2 linked regions of the Tribolium castaneum genome follow. Each later gene encodes a partner of the first gene's protein in a complex. Links are inferred from orthologs where the notes say so. Each region holds a gene or a part of one and is shown on either strand. Other genes may lie near its edges. The genes, in order: Cyfip and Hem.

Region 1 (10,039 bases):
ATCAGTTCATTTCACCACCTGTATTAGAAAAGGGGTTAGGACCTCCCTCTAATTTACATTAACAATAGGGGTAATTAAGCGAGAATTTATCGTGGACATTTTGTTTTTTCAACAGCATATTTTGTACGGAATGTTATTTGAAAAATCTGACAAGTTGTACGGCTACCAGTGATACCGGTGAACTTGTTTCGAAAGTTAACCGACTTTAACACCAAACGCTTGCATGGTGTCACTATCGTTTTGTTTATGTTTTGCTTCAATCAAGATGTAATATGATAACATCGGCACTAAACTTTCGGTAGCCCCAAATAAGAAGTTCTATAATGCGCGCCAGCTAGACCTCGAAAAATCTAAAAAAAACCTTAAACTGACTTTATGTTGACCGATAAAATACGTCGTATGAACACAAAAACCCGCTTAAATCCATCTTTTACGACCCACACAACAATTCCACAATTACCCAGTTTAATAGAACACTTGCCTTTTGCAAGAATTTTAATCATGCCGATAAACCATCATGTAAAAAGTGTTGTAAAAATGGCAATTTTGAATATTTATACGTTGACACGAACTATAAGCAGAACGTATCTTGTTTCATCAATGTTTTTTATGGTCCATTTTGCAGCAGGACAAACTCTGACAAATTTCACACCATGAGATTTCAGCCTTCGAGAAATTTTATATTCGCTAAAAACATGTAAAAAAATCGCACGTCCACACGAAAATAATTATGCCGCTTTGACTTGATTTGATCTTATCGAATGAATTTTTTAATCGAATATTTTCGACAAATTTCTCAACCAATCAACGCCGCCACTCGGCCACAGCGAGAAAAGCGGATAATAATCATTCAATTCATCAACTTCACTGCAAATTAGCAGATAATTTACAACGTGAAATACGGAACGCATGAACTACTTAAATTAACATCGTTTTGCACACAATATTTTAATTAGCAAAACCGAATAATACAATCGCTCGATTTAACAGCGCAACAAAGGGGCACATTTAATCTAACCACATCTCAGTTATTTCGGTTTGTTTATGATCTCTCTAAAAGTACCACAAGTACAAATTCTCGGCGCCTATGCTGCGTAAATAAACAAACAGCAGACAAGGACTCCTGGGGCATTCACAATTCGCCCCAAAGTATATCAATTTCAAGTCTTAACTAAATTATTAGTTAAACATTTCCACAATTTCACAGCAAAAAATCAGTGACTCGACAATGTTTGGTTGAAAACGACGAATTTCTCATAATAATTTTTAAGTAATAATAAAAAAAGTAGATATGTGCCCTGAATACTATTGAAAAAATGTAAAACATAATAATAATACAATAAAAATACAAAATGAAAACAACAGCAAAAGAATAATTACTGAAGTTTAGCTTTATTTCTTTTTTAAATAAGTTTACTGGCTTTGACTTTAAATGATTTTTGATGTTATTATAAATGACAATATAATCTTTTTTTGAACAAATGTGAAATATTTTACCCAAGACGACTAGTGCTAAAAATTTGTAGATTTTGAAACTTGTTTCTTGTTTTCACTTTAACATTATTGTTTTTGATATCTTAAAATGGAAGTATTGTGAAAAAATATCGGTTCAAGCAAACGCACAGATTTTAAAATATTTTTTCACCGTTACCTCTAAAGAATTATATTGCTAAAAAACTACCAGTGGGTTTTTGACAAGAGAAAATTGGCAGTGGTTAAAACTCATCATCCCGAAACAAAGTAATCCTGATTTACGGTATATTAAATGCCACTCAAAAAATGAAGTTCTTTCAAAGTGTGTGGCATAATTCACCGCTTGAGTTTAAGTGATTTAATTGCATGTTTCATTCGTGCAGCACCTCGTCGCTAAATCTAAACAGTGAATACATACAAAGACGAAAACATTTTTTAAATTTCAGTCCAAGTTTCCTAATTCCAGTTTTCGGGACAAAAACCGGCAAATGTTTTTGTGAAGTGCTCGTAGAACAATTTAGATCCGGTACGTCCATGAAGTGATATCTAACGTCTTTATGGAGGGCACATTCTGTAAAAAGCGGCCGTTATATCCAGAAATGGGTTTGCACAGGTCCTAATTCTAAATCGATATTCAATTAACTTCGTTTTTGGTATATTTGCGTGTACTTGATGTGATTTTAGCCCTGCAAATAAATGGCAAAACCTCCAATTTGATTGCGGTATTAAAAGCTCTGTTCTGTCGCACGCGTGTTTTGGAATAGACCGGCGGTGGTCAAGTGTGGACGTGTTAAGGTGCGTTGAAGCGTTTTTCTGGCTGATAGGAACTTAATACCAGCAATGCGTCAGTGACAGTCCGTCATTCCAGGCGAGCAGAATGGAATCAAGCGTGTTATAATTTGACACTTGTTTTCGCGTCTACCGCTTTTGCCTCATATACTCCGGCTTTGCTTTCACACGGAACGACTTGATTTCTTCCCCGACAAACATTAACATTTTAATAATAAAGTAATAATAAAAACAAGTGCTTTAGAGCCGTTTCCTGAAATTTGTTGTGCTTTTATTGAGATGTGACAAATAGGATGTGATTTCTTAAACCCCGAGAACTAAGTTCGGTTTAATTCCGGATGAAAAGCGACGGCGTTTTGTTTGGGGTCCCTTTTTACTTTCAATTGACCGTTTGACACTAGACTGCCATATCAAGTTACTAAATTATATTAAATATTTTGAATGAACCCGTTCTGAAATGTCAATATAAGTTCGCGCATCTGTCGCTCTTACGACGTGCTTTGTTTATTTCCATCTTCGTTTTTGCGTGCATTGAAATACAACATCCAATGGCAATCAATTCTGAATTAATAGTTAGCGGATCCGAAATATGGCCACACATTAGTAGTTATGTAAATGTTACCCCTGAACCGGGCAAATTCGGATGTTAAAATGCGAAACATATTTTTATTATAATGTAAATATTTGTTTTTCGGAAATATTATTCCAAGAATTATTTCACGCTTATTTAAATTACAAGTCATATTTCAACAATGAAATAATCTAAGCGTTCATGTAAATTCGCGATTACTATTTACGCGGAAAATTAACTTTCTCAACTAAATGTCAGAATTTGCAAAAAAGAAACGATATTTTACGACTTATAGAAAGACAAATTTAAGCAAAACTAATATTATTTGCGATATCAGGTCGCCTCGCGCAAATTAGATTTCAAATAAAAACAAACGCGGTGCAAGAAAGTTTCTATTCAGTTTTCAGCAACGGAAACAAAATTAGAAATCTATAAAGGACTTTATGAATTGTTAAGAAAGTCGGCTAATTAGTCGTTTGGCAGACAAAATGTAAGTAGAAGTGTTAATTTTTTGTATAAAATAGCATTCTTGAACCCGCTGTTTAATTAATTTATCGCAAACTAATGAACAAGTGCATGCAAATTTATTATAATAAATTGTAAAATAAATAGAGATAATTAATAAACTGAACAAATGGCATACGCTCACTTTATTCCCCGATGAAAAAAATCTTAAAGATAATAACATTGTTATCAGCAAATTGCATACAATATTTACGTTTCATTATTAATGATTTTGTTTTATTTGCCGGTATCTTTTCAAAGAGAATTTTCATTTAAAACCTAATCAATTAACAGGCTTTATTACTTGTAACCACATAACAAGCTGTTTAGGAATGTCACTTTTTTAATTAATTTGCGACTAAAAAATGATTGATTTTATTATGAAGGCGCATAAAGAGCGGCCGCTCACGCCGAAACCGTCAAATGTCATGAATGTTTCACCGAGATAGATTTTCAACGATTTTTTAAAGCACTAACGAATTCAGATGAATTCGAATGATGAAAGGACAAGAAACGCTAAGAATTTCGGAATTATAAACATAACAAGCTGTCGCTTAAAACTCGACTGCACACTAACTTTTTTATTTTCCTCACTGAGAGCTCCTTTGGCACTAAAATACCAAACTAAAGGACCCGATTGCGGCCCGAAAATTCATTAAATTAACTGGCGATATTGCAAATCAACTTTTTTATTCGTTCGATTTTTTAACTGATATGATGTGATAACACTTCCATACAATTATATCGAAATGAGAATAAACAATATTACTGTGCTCTTGCAACAATTCTATTAACAATTTCATGCACTTTTTGTTCTAAAATAATTGAAAGGAAAGTTTTTTGCGTTCTACTAACGTGGACTAAAATAACTGAAAGTGTTCTTGAGTAATTTCTGAACCAAATATAGAAAAAAACACTTATCAAAAATAATTACACGGCGAGGAAATCAATTCGGTGTAACGATTTTTTTCTTTAATATATATTTGAACGTTTAACTGAGCGCACCACCTCTTGGTTGGCGTTCCAACTAACTCGGCCGGAAATATGGCCACAATCCTAGTAACTTTTATTGCATGGGGTTCTTGACACTCTAGTTTTATATTTGTCATTTGTTTACTTGTCTAATGCCGCACCTAAAAATGTTAAATATTTCTAAAATAGCACAAAATTAGTTAAGTTTGTTGTTGATAACAAATAGCCACGTTCTGGGCCATGTTTCTAAGAGTGTGTTTTTGTGTGGTTCCATTGACTGCAGTCTCAAATTTGGTTTTTTCCAGATTGATTAAATTATTTTCTCTCTGGAAAAACAGCAAGTGGAGTGCTTGAAATGGCAGGAACTGATCGAGTTTCGCTGAGTGACGCATTATCCAACGTTGATGTACTAGACGAACTTCCTTTGCCTGATGAACAACCGTGCATTGAGGCCCAACCTTGCTCAGTTGTCTATCAGGCGAATTTTGATACAAATTTCGAAGATCGGAACGGGTTTGTGACAGGAATTGCCAAATACATTGAAGAGGCAACAGTACACGCAAGTCTCGTAATTATTAAATGAGCCATTTGTGTCCCCTGTGTCAGTCAGGTCATTTACAGAACGAGTTATTAGAGGAAGGGCAGGAGCATGCTGTCATGCTCTACACGTGGAGGTGCTGCTCTAGAGCCATTCCTCAGCCCAAATCTAACGAACAACCAAATCGGGTCGAAATTTACGAGAAAACTGTCGAAGTGCTCGCCCCCGAAGTGAACAAACTCTTGAACTTTATGTATTTTCAAGTAAGCCCCTTTTAACTCAACCCGGTTAGGACTCCCTTAATCATTTCAGAAAAAAGCAATCGAGCGGTTTTTCGAAGAAGTAAAACGATTATGTCACACCGAAAAAAGGAAAGACTTTGTCTCAGAAGCCTATCTCCTCACTTTGGGAAAGTTCATAAACATGTTTGCCGTCTTAGACGAGTTAAAAAACATGAAATCAAGTGTCAAAAACGACTATTCCACATACAGAAGAGCAGCACAATTTTTGAAAGTCATGTCTGATTCACAAACACTTCAAGAATCACAAAATTTATCGATGTTCTTAGCCACACAAAATAAAATTAGGGATGCTGTTAAGGAGAATCTGGAACGAATCAGTGGCTATGAGGAATTGCTAGCTGATGTTGTCAACATTTGCGTGCACATGTTTGAAACGAAAATGTACCTCACACCCAGCGAAAAACACATGCTTGTTAAAGTTATGGGCTTCGGGCTTTTCCTGATGGACAGCGAGTTGTGCAATATTAATAAGCTAGACCAGAAGAAGAAATTGAGGCTGGACCGCATTGACCGGATTTTCAAAGTGAGTGGCAAAAAATATAAAAGCAACTCGCATTTGATTGAATAACTCTGTTCAAGCTTAAATTAGTTCAATTAGTCCTTTAGTTTTTGTTATCCGAATGAATTGAAATTTTGCATAGTTACGTAATCTGCGTGACGATACAATTTTGTGTATTTAATACAAACTACAAACAAAATTAGAATTTACTCTCAAAAATCGCTTTGTATATTCAGATTATAAAGTTTAAATTTTGTGTACTTACGTCAAAAATGATTTTCAATAATTAATCAGAGAAACTGTATAATGAGTAAGCTCTTGACTTAACATTCTTGCCAGATCGGTGGCAAATTTTATATTTAATGCTTAAATAAAATCACGACTGGTTTATAAATCTACAACATTTGACCAAAATACGAGAAAGCCCGTTTTTTCGTAGAACTTGGAGGTTGTCCCTTTGTTCGGGGACATGCAGATCGCCCCTTTCAACTACATAAAGCGGAGCAAGCATTTCGACCCAAGCAAATGGCCTTTATCAAGTAGCAATACTCCCTCTCCCCAAGCCGATTTAATGGTACATTTGCCCCAAATTCGTGACGATCATGTTAAGTACATAAGCGAATTAGCGCGATACAGTAACGAAGTCACGACAACATACAAAGAAAGCGGTACTGACGCTGAAAATAAAGAAACGGCCGAACTTGCGCTCCGCGGATTACAATTACTGTCTGAATGGACAAGTGTTGTAACGGAACTGTATTCATGGAAGCTTTTACACCCAACTGACCACCATCAGAATAAAGAGTGCCCACAAGAGGCCGAGGAATACGAAAGGGCGACACGGTATAATTACAGCGACGAGGAAAAATTCGCGCTAATTGAAGTCATTGCGATGATTAAGGGATTACAAGTGCTGATGGCCAGAATGGAAACGGTGTTCACTGACGCAATTCGGCGGAATATTTACGCCGAATTGCAAGATTTCGTACAGATTATTTTGAGGGAACCGCTGAGGAAAGCAATTAAAAATAAAAAGGATCTTATCAGAAGGTAGCGCGTTTTTGTGTCCACATCACGTAACACGTTTTTTTAGTATCATTATGTCGGTGCGAGAAACTTGCGCTGATTGGCAGAGAGGTGTCGAGCCGACTCAAGACCCGGCTTTGAGGGGCAAAAAGGACGATAACGGGTTTAATGTTAAAGTGCCAAGGAGAAACGTGGGTCCTTCCTCCACCCAACTTTACATGGTCAGGACAATGCTGGAGTCGCTAATTGCCGATAAATCAGGCGGCAAAAGAACCCTGAGGAAGGACATAGACGGTCAATATTTAATGCAAATTGACCAGTTCCACAAAACCTCCTTCTACTGGAATTATCTTCTCAGTTTCAGTGGTACGTACAAAAACATTGATATTAATTCATTTCCTCCCAGAATCGTTGCAGCAATGTTGCGACCTGTCGCAGCTGTGGTACAGAGAGTTCTACCTCGAGATGACCATGGGACGGAGAATAAACGTGAGTAACGCGTAATTTTGCCAAAAATTTGCCAAACTTTTCATAGAAATGCACCGTGCGTCACGCTCATAACGAAGAATGTAACGATTTGATCACGATGGAAAAACGCATACAATTCCCAATCGACATGTCCATGCCTTGGATTTTGACTGATCATATTTTGAAAACTAAGGAACCCTCGATGATGGAGTACGTCTTGTACCCGCTTGATTTATACAATGATAGCGCGCTTTACGCACTGACAATATTCCGAAAGCAATTTTTATACGATGAGGTCGAGGCTGAAGTTAATTTATGTTTTGATCAGTTTGTTTATAAACTGAGCGAGCAAATTTTCGCGTACTATAAACAACTGGCGGCAAGGTATTGATAAAAATCATGGGAACGCTTTCACAATCAATCCTTTCAGTATCTTTCTTGATAAGCGCTTCAGAGTGGAGTGTGCCGCCTTGGGGGCTTACCTGCTCCCCTACCCGCGAGCAAATCGTTACGAAACCTTGCTAAAACAGCGGCACGTCCAGTTATTAGGGCGGTCGATCGATTTGAATAAGTTGATCACTCAGAGGATCAACACCGACATGCAGAAAAGTCTCGATTTGGCAATAAGTAAGTTCGAAGGCGGTGACATAACCGGGGTTATGGAACTGGAAGGCCTCCTACAAGTGAATCGGTTGTGTCATAAATTGCTGAGCAAGTGGCTCGCACTTGACGATTTCGATTCAATGTATCGTGAGGCTAATCACAACGTTTTGGCGCCCTATGGCCGCATCACCTTGCATGTGTTTTGGGAGCTGAACTACGATTTCTTGCCTAATTACGTCTACAATGCCGCGACGAACAGATTTACTAAGTATCGGGGGCAGATTGCTTTCGCGGGGGCTGTCCACAGAGATAAGCCGCCGCAAATGTCGCATCATTACATGTGGGGGAGCAAGCAACTGAACCTTGCCTACACGACTCAGTATGGCCAATATTCCGGTAAATCTAGCTTATGGTCCTAATTTTGTTTAACTAGTACGGTTTAGGGTTCGTCGGGCCTCAGCATTTCCACACAATGTGCAAACTCTTGGGTTATCAAGGCATTGCAGTTGTGATGGAGGAGCTCCTCAAAATTGTCAAAAGTCTGATCCAAGGGAACCTCCTCCAATTCACCAAAACTCTAATGGAGGTCATGCCAAAGCAGTGCAAATTGCCACGTTACGATTACGGCTCACCGGGTAATGATTTGCTTGATTTGGGCGGAATTAATAAGACGAATTTTAGGTGTGTTAAGTTACTACCACGCCCAATTGAACGACATTGTCCAATACCCCGATGCCAGGACCGAGTTGTTCCACAATTTCCGAGAATTTGGGAACATTATCCTGTTTTGTTTACTGATGGAACAGGCCTTGTCACAGGAGGAAGTCTGTGATTTGTTGCAAGCGGCACCGTTTCAGAATATCCTCCCACGGCCGTTTTGCAAGGAAGGGGAGAAGCCCGAAACGAAGCAGAAACGGCTTGAAGCCAAATATGCCGCCTTGCAGATTGTACCAAATATAGAGAAGTTAGGAACTGCAAAGGTTGGATAAATGTGCAAACAACTGTTTGTTATTTCGCCAATTTGTAGCAATCTTTGATATCGAAGGAGGGCGATTTATTGACCCGTGAGCGGCTGTGCTGCGGTCTCTCGATTTTTGAAGTTGTTTTGAACCGATTAAGGACCTTCCTGGACGATTCGGTTTGGGTCGGACCGCCGCCTGCTAACGGTGTCATGAACGTTGACGAATGCACCGAGTTCCATCGCTTGTGGTCGGCTTTACAATTCGTCTATTGTATTCCAGTTAGCGAGAACGAATATACTGTCGAGTGGGTACCGACTTTATGTTTCGTTTTATTTATTCCGTGTTTCAGGGAAATGTTTGGCGAAGGTTTGCATTGGGCGGGGTGTACAATGATCGTGCTTCTGGACCAGCAAAGGCGGTTTGAGGCCCTCGATTTCTGTTACCACATTCTGAGAGTACAAAGAGTTGACATGAAGGATGAAATTGTGAAAGGCATTGTATGTTGGTTGTACGGTTGTTTTCGGTCTATAATTGTCTTTCCCAGAGCTTGAAGAGAATGGTGGACAGGATCAGGCGCTTCCAAGTGCTCAATTCGCAGATCTTTGCGATTTTGAACAAGTTTTTGAAGTCGAGTGAGAACGACGAGTTGTCGGTTGAACATGTACGTTGTTTCCCGCCACCGGTCTACCCAATGAATCCGCAACAGCACTACCACGCACCCGAACATCTACGCCAGTGTTGAAGCACGTTTATTTTATACATTTGTTGGAATCAGCTTTCAACATTTTATAATCTTTTATATTTATTATAGTCCTACTACATGTGTAAATCTCATTACAAATGTATCGCCCACCCTCATTTATTATCGGCCTTATTGGTATTGCTTTAATTTTTCATAATAAAATTTTCGATGCCTGCTTGAGTGTGTTTTATTTCGCGCGTTGTTTCAAATTCAGGGCTGCCAACCGGGGACTTAGTCCCGCTGGTGACTGTTGATAGCAGCTGTTCGTCGTGTGTTGACAGTAGTTGAGAGATTTGTCAAACTATAGAAAATAATTCAATAATTTTGTAGTATTTTCTGTATTTTGAAAAATTAGACAATGACAATTTTACCAGCCAAAAGACCTTCGGCGAATCCGGAGGAGAAAAGCGACAATAGTCAGCAAAATGTGAGTAGATATGTTAAACTTGTCATTTTTGATCTTTTTTTAAGGAGAAACTTCATAATCATAAATCGTGTTATCTTTATTGTCAGCGTGTTGGACTAGCGAAATCTTTGCTTGATCTTGAAATTTTGTACACGATTGCGTAATTAGATAGGTTTAATAATGT
Region 2 (10,241 bases), on another chromosome or scaffold:
TAAAATTATAGAATCAACTTATACACCCGGTATCTTTTGATGAAATCTGGTGAAAAATTAGAGAATTAAATTGAAACAAAGTGGAAGAAAATGTTTTCTCGAGCTAATTCGCCGACTTTTGAACTGAATGTATTTGCGTTTTAGGTGAATTATTGCAATTATATAGTATGTAAAGTTGATTTATTTAAAAAGTTTGTGTTAAAATATCTGTAAAAGACGGTCAGCACCTGGGCCCTGGTGGCTCAGTGGTATAAGCGCCACTTACGACGGGGGAGGTCAGGTGTTCGAACCCGGATCAGGGTAACAATTTTTCTATGAAAAAAAGTGTAGAAAAGGTAAGGAAACAACACGTAAACAAAAATAAGAGATTGAGAGAACACATAGACGTATAAATGTATAGTGAAGCATAAAACTGACAGAAATAAGAAAATAATGCGGCAAAAGGTAAAAGTAAGTAAAGGCGCCAAATTGTAAACGTAAGAGCACATCCTAATATAGGAAAAATACCTTTTGTTTTGAGAGAAAAAGAGATGAACGTAAAGGTGAAGCATGACTTCAAATTTTAGTTGAATCCTTAGATGACTTACTTCTTAAATTATAAAAAAAATAAACGAAAACATTTAATTTATCTCAAAAAATTTTTAGTTAACTGAGTTTGTTTACTAAAGTCCCGAAAAACATTGTTAATAAAAATCATGACCACTGCGAATACAGTAGGATTTGTGTACGTCCACTATTTTTGACTAGAAATACACAAATTTGGTGATTTTTTGGGAAATTATGTCCACTTTCGGTCAAAAACGTGCTGAAAGCCACTAAAGAGGTAATAATAATTTTAAAATTGTAGAATCAACTTGAACGCCTGTATTTTTTGATGCAATTTGGTGAAAAATTAGAGAATTAGATTTAAAAAAGTGGAACAAAATGTTTTCTCGATCCAATTCGCCGACTTTACTACACTTTTCTTTCAAAGTTTTGTATTTTTGTTTTATATTTTTTTGTTTTTTAAAATCACAGCAAATCACAGTGACTAAAAAAATTGCTGCCTGCCTTAATACGGCATTAATAACGTTTTGTGTTTCAAACATGGACGTGGCTAAACGTTTACAGAGTGATTGAACATTTCAGATTATAATTAATCCATTTGCTGTTGTTTTTAATTTCGTCTAACTCAGTCCGAGTTAGTGAATTTATTGACGTATTCAAATTGCGTCGAAATTCAAATTTCCAATTCAGCGAAATTTATAGTAATTAAATGTGATCGCGACATGACAGATTGAGGTAAATGTGAGCTAGCAATATACACATAAATGTACATACATTGTCCAATCAATATTGTTATCTCTTCGTGTGTACACTGGGCCCTGCCATTAATAAATTATGCAACATTTACTAGCACTGCTTGTCGGAAAATGTCATTTTCCCCTCCGAGAAAGACTCCCTGTCAACATGTTTTAATTTTAAATGCGGCGCCGCCAACTCACGATAATGACCGTTCCGGTGGAAAAGTGATTACTAAGCTTCCGGATGCAACAGTCGCTGTTTAAAAATTAAGCTCTTGGCAAGATGCACAAACATAACGAATTCTAAAATCTTGCCAAGGGATCTGTTTCATAGCTCCAGCGGTAAGTGAATGTAACGGCGGAGTTTAATGATTGAATTCGCAAAGTTGAATGAAAAATTCGCAGAGCTTTTAAGTAGACAATAATTACACAAAGTTGGATAAAACTCTCTTCGAAATTATAATTATTTCTCCGGCTTTATCCCGCTGCAATTAGAATATTAGGTGAAAAGGAGTGATGAATGGCTTTAATTCTATAAGAGTTGCAGAAATACTTTAAGGTGGCGCCACCGCTCGAAATTCAACCAACTCTATGCGATATATAAAACAATGTTATATTTGTGAACCCGCAATAAAATTTTCAACGGTTCGCGTCTTGCCAACGTTGTAAAATTTTTATTTCTGCGTCATTATAATTCTCGAGATTTTTTCTTGTAGATTTATAACACAATATACCAGCGAAATCTTTTAATCGTGGCCTACTTTACCCGCAACTGATAAGAAAAATAATGCATACGTTACTTATTATTCACTTATTGCAACAAAGCCGGAGCTTAAACATTATTTATCTTGTTGTGTAGTTATTAAAGTGTCAAGAGACAACTTATTTTTCCTTTCCGTCGGTGTTTTATGATTTCTATAAAATGATTTATAAGGCTACTAGATTTGCATAATACATTGCAACGCCAACGTTTAAATTCTTTTTTTATTTCGCCGAATCAATCTTTATTTGTTTTCGGAGCAAGAAAACAGCACTCACACCTCCATTATAAAAGTTTACGGCGCCACTTGGGTTACTCCATTGGCCATCATTTATACGTTCCTTAGCAACACCTTTGAAAACAAACACGACTGTCAATTATTGCACAAAGTTTCCTCACACGGTGGGCTGTAGGTAAACAAAACGTTAAACTTTCAAAGTTATTTATTTTCCAAGGTAAATATTTAAGAATTAAGCTTTTCCATGAAGGACAACGAAGCCGCTATTATTATACAGAAATGTGTCAGGAGATATTTATCGAAGAACAAGGCGGCTACGAAAACAAAAACAGATAAGAACCAAAAGTAAGTCAACAATTCCAAGTGACGCATCTTTTTTTATATATTTTTTTTAATTAAAACAGTGTTACCCATGACGAAATAAAACAAGTCCTAGAGGAAATTCATTTATTTCAGAAGAAATTACAATCAAATATGAAGAAAAAAGACGAAATCAAGAAACTGTGTTTAAGCATTGATGAGATTTCCACGGAACTAAAATCGATAACTAAATTAGAACACTGTAAGCAATTAGAGACGTCGTTTTCCAATGAAACGTACGAAAAAATTCAGCAAAAACACCGGGAACAAATCGGGCAAATAAATTCAAAATGGTGGGAAAAATTAGATATTTTCGAGGATCAATAATTTTTATGACCGATTGAGTTACCAAATTTTTTTTAACAAGTGTGTGATAATTATGTATACAATGTTACCCAGTTGAGTTTCAGATGTTTTGAAATTATAAACTTTATTTAATAAATGTTTAACAATGTTTTACCGAATTTCATTTTTTGTCTGTTGCCATAAATTTAACTGTTTGTTCATTTATATTCTAACTGTCTTGTACGTTTCTGTGAATGTACTTTTCTAGCCTTGGAAAGCTCCCCAAAAAACTCGCAGTATGCTCTGATATTTTCACGGATGTTATAGAACAATTTTTATCATTGTATTCAAAGGCGATGTGTTATGTGTGTTGAACAACAAGGAAGACATTTCCAACAGTTTTTAAATGATAATAAATAAATATTTTAATAAAAATTTGTTCTTTTTAATTGTCAAAAAGTATGAGAGTTATGAGAGAACGAATTTATCACAAACATAAAAAATAATTGTTTTTTAACTTCGCAGCACACTATTTTTTTTAAGTAATTATTTGTTATTTCTGGAGTGTAAATTTTAAATTTAACGTCCATCAAAGGTCAATATCTCTAATAAGTAATAATAAACCAGTTATGAAGCGTTTTCGGATCGTTGACAGCCTGTACATTTCAAAAACTAGAGCCCTTAAAATCTGTTTGCAGTTTTGAAATCAGCGTCCAACAATTTCTTAACAACAACAAAAAATATTCAGTAAACTTTCGCCATTTATTTTGGTGAACTCGATGAGCTCGCGCAATCTACATTTTACACTTCAATGGCTCCAAACTGCCATCACAACCGGGCTGAAATCCCTAGCGTCACCGCCTTGTTTCTGACGTTTATCTGACATTTCGTTAACCAACAAATCAAAATATCTCATTTTACCAAAAAAACGATGAAATAACACAATTCATCACTTAAAAACTCACGTCCGGGTCGAAGGTACGCCCAACACTTTTTTTACAGTTTCATAACATTAAATAATTAACAGGAAACTAAATCAAAATGGCCCGTCCTCTCGCCCCCAGCGAGCGGAAAATCGCCGAAAAACTCATCATCCTCAACGACAGGGGCATCGGCATGCTCACACGCATCTACAACATTAAAAAAGCCTGCGGAGACGCCAAATCCAAGCCGGGGTTTCTCTCCGACAAGAACTTGGAGTCTTCGATCAAGAGCATTGTGCGGCGGTTTCCGAACGTCGACAGCAAGAACTTGACTGCGATTCAAGGGCTCAGGAACGAGATAATCAAATCTTTGTCGCTGTATTACTACACGTTCGTCGATTTGCTTGATTTCAAAGACCACGTTTGCGAGTTGTTGACTAGCATGGGGGCGTTTCAAATCGAGCTTGATATTTCGCTCAATTTCGAACTCACTAAGCATTATCTTGACTTGGTGACGACCTACGTGTCTCTGATGGTGTTGCTGTCGCGGGTTGAGGACCGCAAGGCCGTTCTGGGGCTTTTTAACGCCGCTTATGAAATCGTGCATTCCTCGCCCGATTCAAGCTTCCCGCGGTTGGGCAACATGATCATGGAGTATGAGATTCCGTTTAAAAAGTTATGCGAGGAGTTTGTGCCCCACACTAAGCTGCTTCTAAGCGCCTTGAACTCGCTTCTACCCATTTATATCGCCCGGAATGTCTCGGCTGATAAATGGCGCTCTGAATTGAAGTTGAGTCTAGTAGGCAACCCAGCTTCGCTCCTCAAGCCGGTGATAGCCGACCGGATGTCGTGCGAGTACGTCTCGCTTGATACCATGGAACGCTGGATTGTCTTCGGTTTGTTGCTAATTCACCCGCACTTGCAGCAAGATCATTTGAATAAATTATGGATCAATGCGCTTGAGTCGTCTTGGGTCTTGCCCCTGTTCCGGGACGAGGTTATCTACACCCATCAGTACATCTGTGGGTACTTTGATACCATCAAGGGCTATAGTAAAAGGGCGTCCGAGGTTAAGGATTGCCACAGTCAAGCGATACAAAAGGCTGGGTACAAACACCGCGAACGCCGAAAATTCCTAAGGACGGCCCTCAAAGAATTAGGCTTGATTTTGATGGACCAGCCGGGGCTTTTGGGGCCGAAGGCCCTCATGGTCTTCATGGGTTTGTGCTACGCACGGGACGAGGTCTTATGGTTGTTGCGTCACAACGACAACCCACCCCAACAAAAAAACAAGGGTAAATCGACCGAGGATTTAGTCGATAGACACCTGCCAGAACTCCTCTTCCACATGGAAGACTTACGGGTGTTGGTCCGAAAGTACAGTCAAGTCATGCAAAGGTACTACGTCCAGTACCTCTCACACTTCGACGCCTTGGTCCTCAAAGACATGATCCAGAAAAACTTGGGTTCGGTGGGCGAAGACGAGTGCATAATTCTCTCCTCTTTGTGCAACACCATCTCGGGCCTTTCGGTCAAACAAGTCGAAGACAACGAAACGTTCAACTTCTTCGCCTTCCGCTTGGACTGGTTCCGCTTGCAGGCGTACATGTCCACAGGCAACGCCCTCTTGCGCATCATGGACAACAAAGACCTGGCCCAGTTTTTGGACACCGTGCAATTCCACACGAAAATGGTCGACAATCTGGACGAAATGCTAGTCGAGACTTCGGATTTATCAATCTTCTGCTTCTACAACCGCATTTTCGAGGACCAGTTCCACATGTGTCTGGAGTTCCCGGCCCAGAACCGCTTCATCGTGGCCTTCCCGTCGATCTGCTCCCACTTCCAGCACTGCACGCACGAGCTGTGCCCCGAGGAGCGCCACCACATCCGCGAACGCAGCCTGTCGGTGGTCAACGTCTTCCTGGACGAGATGGCCAAGGAAGCCAAGAACATTATCACGGCGATTTGCGACGCCCAGTGCAAGATGAGCGACAAGCTCCTGCCCAAAAACTGCGCCCACTTGATCTCGCAGCAAATGAACCGCAAGAAGAAGGAGAAGAATAAGAAGAACACCCTCGAGATCGAGAAACCGGGCAAGGAGAGTTACAGGAAAACGAGGGAGAATTTGACGACTATGGATAAGTTGCACATGGCTTTGACCGAGCTCTGCTATGCTATTAACTACTTCTCGAATATAAACGTCTGGGAGTATACGTTCGCTCCTAGGGAATACTTGCACCAGCACTTGGAGAATCGCTTTGCGCGGGCTTTGGTCGGCATGGTCATGTATAGCCCGGACACTAACGAAATCGCCAAACCGTCCGAGCTTTTGGTTAGCGTCCGCGCCTACATGAACGTGCTCCAAACGGTGGAGAACTACGTCCATATTGACATAACCCGGGTTTTTAACAACTGTCTCCTGCAACAAACCCAGCCTGTGGACAGCCATGGGGAGAAAACCATAGCTGCGATTTACACCCAGTGGTATTCCGAAGTGTTACTGCGACGTGTTAGCGCCGGCAATATAATCTTCTCGATGAACCAACGCTCGTTTGTTTGCCTCACCGCCGAGGCGGCGATTCCGTTCAACCCCGAGGAGTATTCAGACGTGAACGAGCTGCGCGCCCTGGCGGAGCTGATCGGTCCCTACGGTATGAAGCAGTTGAGCGAGACGCTGATGTGGCACATCGCCAGTCAAGTCATCGAGTTGAAGAAACTAGCCGAGGCCAACAAGGACGTCCTTTTGCTGCTCCGCACCAACTTCGACAAGCCCGAAGTGATGAAAGAACAGTTCAAGAAGCTGACCAGCGTCGAGAACGTGCTCCAGCGCATGACGATCGTCGGCGTGATTCTGAGCTTCCGCCAGTTGGCGCAGTCGTGCCTCACTGATGTCCTGGAGCAGAGGATCCCGTTCCTCCTGAGCTCGATCCTGGATTTCCGCCACCATTTGCCGAGCGGTGACCCGCTGAAGGTCGTGAGTGAGATGTGCTCAGCGGCGGGGATTCCCTGCAAGGTGGATCCGACGCTGGTCAATGCGCTCAAGTTGCAGAAGCCGGAGGTGGACAGTGACGAGCACTTGATCACCTGTTTGCTGATGGTGTTTGTGGCGGTGTCGATTCCCAAGCTGGCCAAGCAAGAGCAGTCGTTTTATAGGGCGTCGCTTGAGGGGCATACGAATAATATTCATTGTATGGCCTTGGCGGTTAATCATATCTTCGGGGCGTTGTTCACGATTTGTAATCAGGGGGATATGGAGGACCGGATGAAGGAGTTTCTGGCGTTGGCGTCCTCGAGTTTGCTCAGGTTGGGACAGGAGGCTGATAAGGAGGCCACGAAAAATAGGGAGAGTGTGTATTTGTTGTTGGATCAGATCGTGCAAGAGTCGCCATTTTTGACGATGGATTTGTTGGAGTCGTGCTTTCCATATGCGCTGATCAGGAATGCCTATCACGCGGTGTATAAGCAGGAGCAGTTGTTGGCGTAAATTAAGTATTTATTTCCCGTACAAATTTTATTCATCATTTAGTACTATCAAGTACAACACAATTGTATCACAATTCCTATTTAATTAGTTTAAATACATTATGTTAAGTAACGAGCATTTATATCATGATATTGTAGTGTTACAACATGTATTGTAAATTTTTTTATATTCTGTACGTCTTTTATTTTTACTAAACCATTAACACGCTTATTTCATCTTTCGTTGTTTCCAATTATGAAACTAGGAAGAATAGTGTAACAAAAAAATGAATACGAAGATGAAACAAATCTTAGGAACTAAAACTTTCTTTCTGGCGTTTTCCATGTACAGGGTGCTCAAAAACTGGCGCACCAACTCAGTGGTGCGTTATTGAGAAGCAAGTGCAGATTACGGTAAAAGTGTTGAAAAAATTCCTAGTCATATTTAAACAATCTAGAGCTACAAACTTATTGTGTTAACTTCTTTAGTTTTCATTATTTTTTTATATTTTTATGTTTCATGCCAGGTAATCGTTCCGTAACAAAACGATGAATAATCAGATTTTAGCAGTTTTTTTAATAAAAAAAAATAAAATTCATGCAAAAAATCACAATGTGTAGATGTGCCAACACTTGGAATTAATTCCTAGGAAACCGTTTCAAAAACAATTTATTTTTATTGTTGCTTAACTATTGCGATCATGACTATTAGACAACGTTGCCACATATCATTTATCTAATATGTTCGAATTTTTGATGTTTGATTTTTTCAATTTTTGTCGCGAATTTTGTCGATTTCTGGTACCCTGATAATTTATCAAGGAATAATTCCGGAACTATTAGAGATAACCCCCTGATGTGTCCTATCTTTGGAAAGCTCTTTTAATGATCTATCATTTGCAAAAAAGATTATTGTTGTCCGACTTATAGTTTTCGAGAAAATGCAAATAAAAGCAAAAATTAGATCATATACTCAAAAGTTCATAACTAAAAAACTATTGGGAATTTAGCGCTTTTCTTGATTCCAATCGATTCCCCGGATCATTTTGCATAGGTATGAATCAAAATAGTTCCACTTTTTAGAATAGTTTAGCCGTAAATGAGAAAATAAAAAAAATTGAAAAAAAGTTAACACCCCCCCCTTAGAAATCGGTCAATTTTTAAAGTGTCTCAAAATCAAATAAAACCGATTCTATCTTATAGATTTTGATGTGCTCTTTCCGATCTAAAAAAGCGTTTTCTCCTAGCTCTTTTAGTTTGGCCGTAATCGGCGTTTGAAAATTGAAAATTTTTGGGAGATATCGCCTTGAGTCCTATGCCATTTTGTAGAGTTTTTTATTCCGGTTATTCTCCATTTTTCCGTTTCTCGATAACTCTAATAGTTTCGTCGTAATTGGCGATTGAAAATTGAAAAAAAGTGAAAATGGAAACCTTTTTTTGCGTTTTTCTCGGAAACTGTAAGACTTAGAGCAACGAACAAAAAACCATCTGATAGCGTTTAATTTTAGCTATTTTTTCGTCTAAACCCGGAGCCGCTCCGGGCAACGGTTCCGGCTACAGAGGCGATCAAAGTTTTTCACTAAAAAAATTCATAAAAAAAACTAAAAGTCGTAGAGCAATGCGGTTTGTTCGATTAAATTTTACGGCTCATTTTACATAATATATCAATAATAAAAAATTTAAAATTTTTTGCCTAAATTTAGCGTAGCGGTATTTATGGTGAACAGTTTTATTCAACAAAAAAATTCATAACTCGAAAACTAAAAGTCGTAGAGCAATGCGGTTTGTTCCATTGAATTCAGCGGCTCATTTTCTGTACCAACTTTTCACGAGATTTAAAATTTTCAATTTTTTTGCTAAAATTTCCTGAGTAAAACACTTACCTTCAAAGAGGTGAAAAAAAATATTTTTTTTAAACTCACTCTAGTAAATTTTTATGGACTTCTACACGTCTTAACAACCCACAAAAGTTGTTAAAAGTCCACAAAAAGTCCATATGTTCGATTTTTTGATGTTTGATTTTTTCAATTTTCGTCGCAGTTTTTGTCGATTTAAACTAGTAATTTATCAATAACTTTACTACAAAGAATTTTTTACTATTTTTACCTTAACCAGTTCTCTTCTACACACCATTGAATTGGTGCGCCAGTTTTTAAGCACGCTGTATAAAATATATGCATTTTTTCTTTTTTTTTTTTGGTTAAATGGCAATGTACTACGTGTACATTTAGACAAACTTTCCCTTCTATATCTATCTTTATCTTCTATATCTTTAATAGTTGTGTTGTGGAAATTTGGATCGAAGAGATAGAAACTTTTAAACAACAAAAATCGGAAAAAACGTAACTGTAATTACAAACACTAGTTTTACATATTTTAAAGTGAAAAAAATTGCTTGGGCTAAAAAATTGTTAGTAGATTTTGGATTAATTAGTATGGTACTTACCCATTTTTTCACTTATGCCCTCTGGTGGTCAATGAGAATGTTTCTTTACATATTTTCAAAGAAAGTTTGCATTCAAAAATAATGTTAACCTAAAAAACGACAAATTTAGTTGAATCGCTCGATAGCACACAGGCCAACGTATTTTTTCAGGAGTGATCAGGATTGGAGAGTTCATGGTAAATAAGTATCGTGCGTGTGAAAAATGTATGACTTTGTTTTTATTTTACATTTGACAATAACACATTTATTATTCACAGTATTATAAAAAGTCATCCAATGACTTTGGTACATGTATTAAGCGACATGCACAACAATTATTGGTCATCGAGGTTGGATTGTACCTACTAGCATAATAAAAAAATTTGATACAATTACTTTTACGTCGTCAAAAAATCAAACAAATGCTAGACATAGGTAAAATCCACTACTCTAAAACAAAAGTGAAGAATATGATACATACTTCATATAAAAACAACTATGT

What was found.
Region 2: Cyfip (region 1) and Hem share a complex: the UniProt entries of both Drosophila melanogaster proteins name them as parts of the WAVE complex. The link is inferred for Tribolium castaneum from reciprocal best matches to the Drosophila melanogaster genes Cyfip and Hem.

Annotation. Positions count from the first base shown.
Region 1 is NC_087403.1:2,177,352-2,187,390, forward strand, and holds Cyfip (cytoplasmic FMR1-interacting protein), read left to right. Parts: upstream 1-4,402; 5' UTR 4,403-4,561; intron 4,562-4,614; 5' UTR 4,615-4,664; coding exon 4,665-4,877; intron 4,878-4,930; coding exon 4,931-5,110; intron 5,111-5,159; coding exon 5,160-5,672; intron 5,673-6,087; coding exon 6,088-6,698; intron 6,699-6,741; coding exon 6,742-7,040; intron 7,041-7,080; coding exon 7,081-7,163; intron 7,164-7,209; coding exon 7,210-7,526; intron 7,527-7,572; coding exon 7,573-8,141; intron 8,142-8,188; coding exon 8,189-8,380; intron 8,381-8,426; coding exon 8,427-8,725; intron 8,726-8,772; coding exon 8,773-9,011; intron 9,012-9,056; coding exon 9,057-9,204; intron 9,205-9,251; coding exon 9,252-9,449; 3' UTR 9,450-9,624; downstream 9,625-10,039. Other genes in the region: Duba (OTU domain-containing protein 5-A), read left to right, coding at 9,808-9,876. UniProt on the Drosophila melanogaster protein: Plays a role in guidance and morphology of central and peripheral axons and in synaptic morphology. Also required for formation of cell membrane protrusions and for bristle development.
Region 2 is NC_087400.1:5,883,717-5,893,957, forward strand, and holds Hem (membrane-associated protein Hem), read left to right. Parts: upstream 1-3,738; 5' UTR 3,739-3,904; intron 3,905-3,953; 5' UTR 3,954-3,967; coding exon 3,968-7,336; 3' UTR 7,337-7,507; downstream 7,508-10,241. UniProt on the Drosophila melanogaster protein: Plays a role during growth of the oocyte.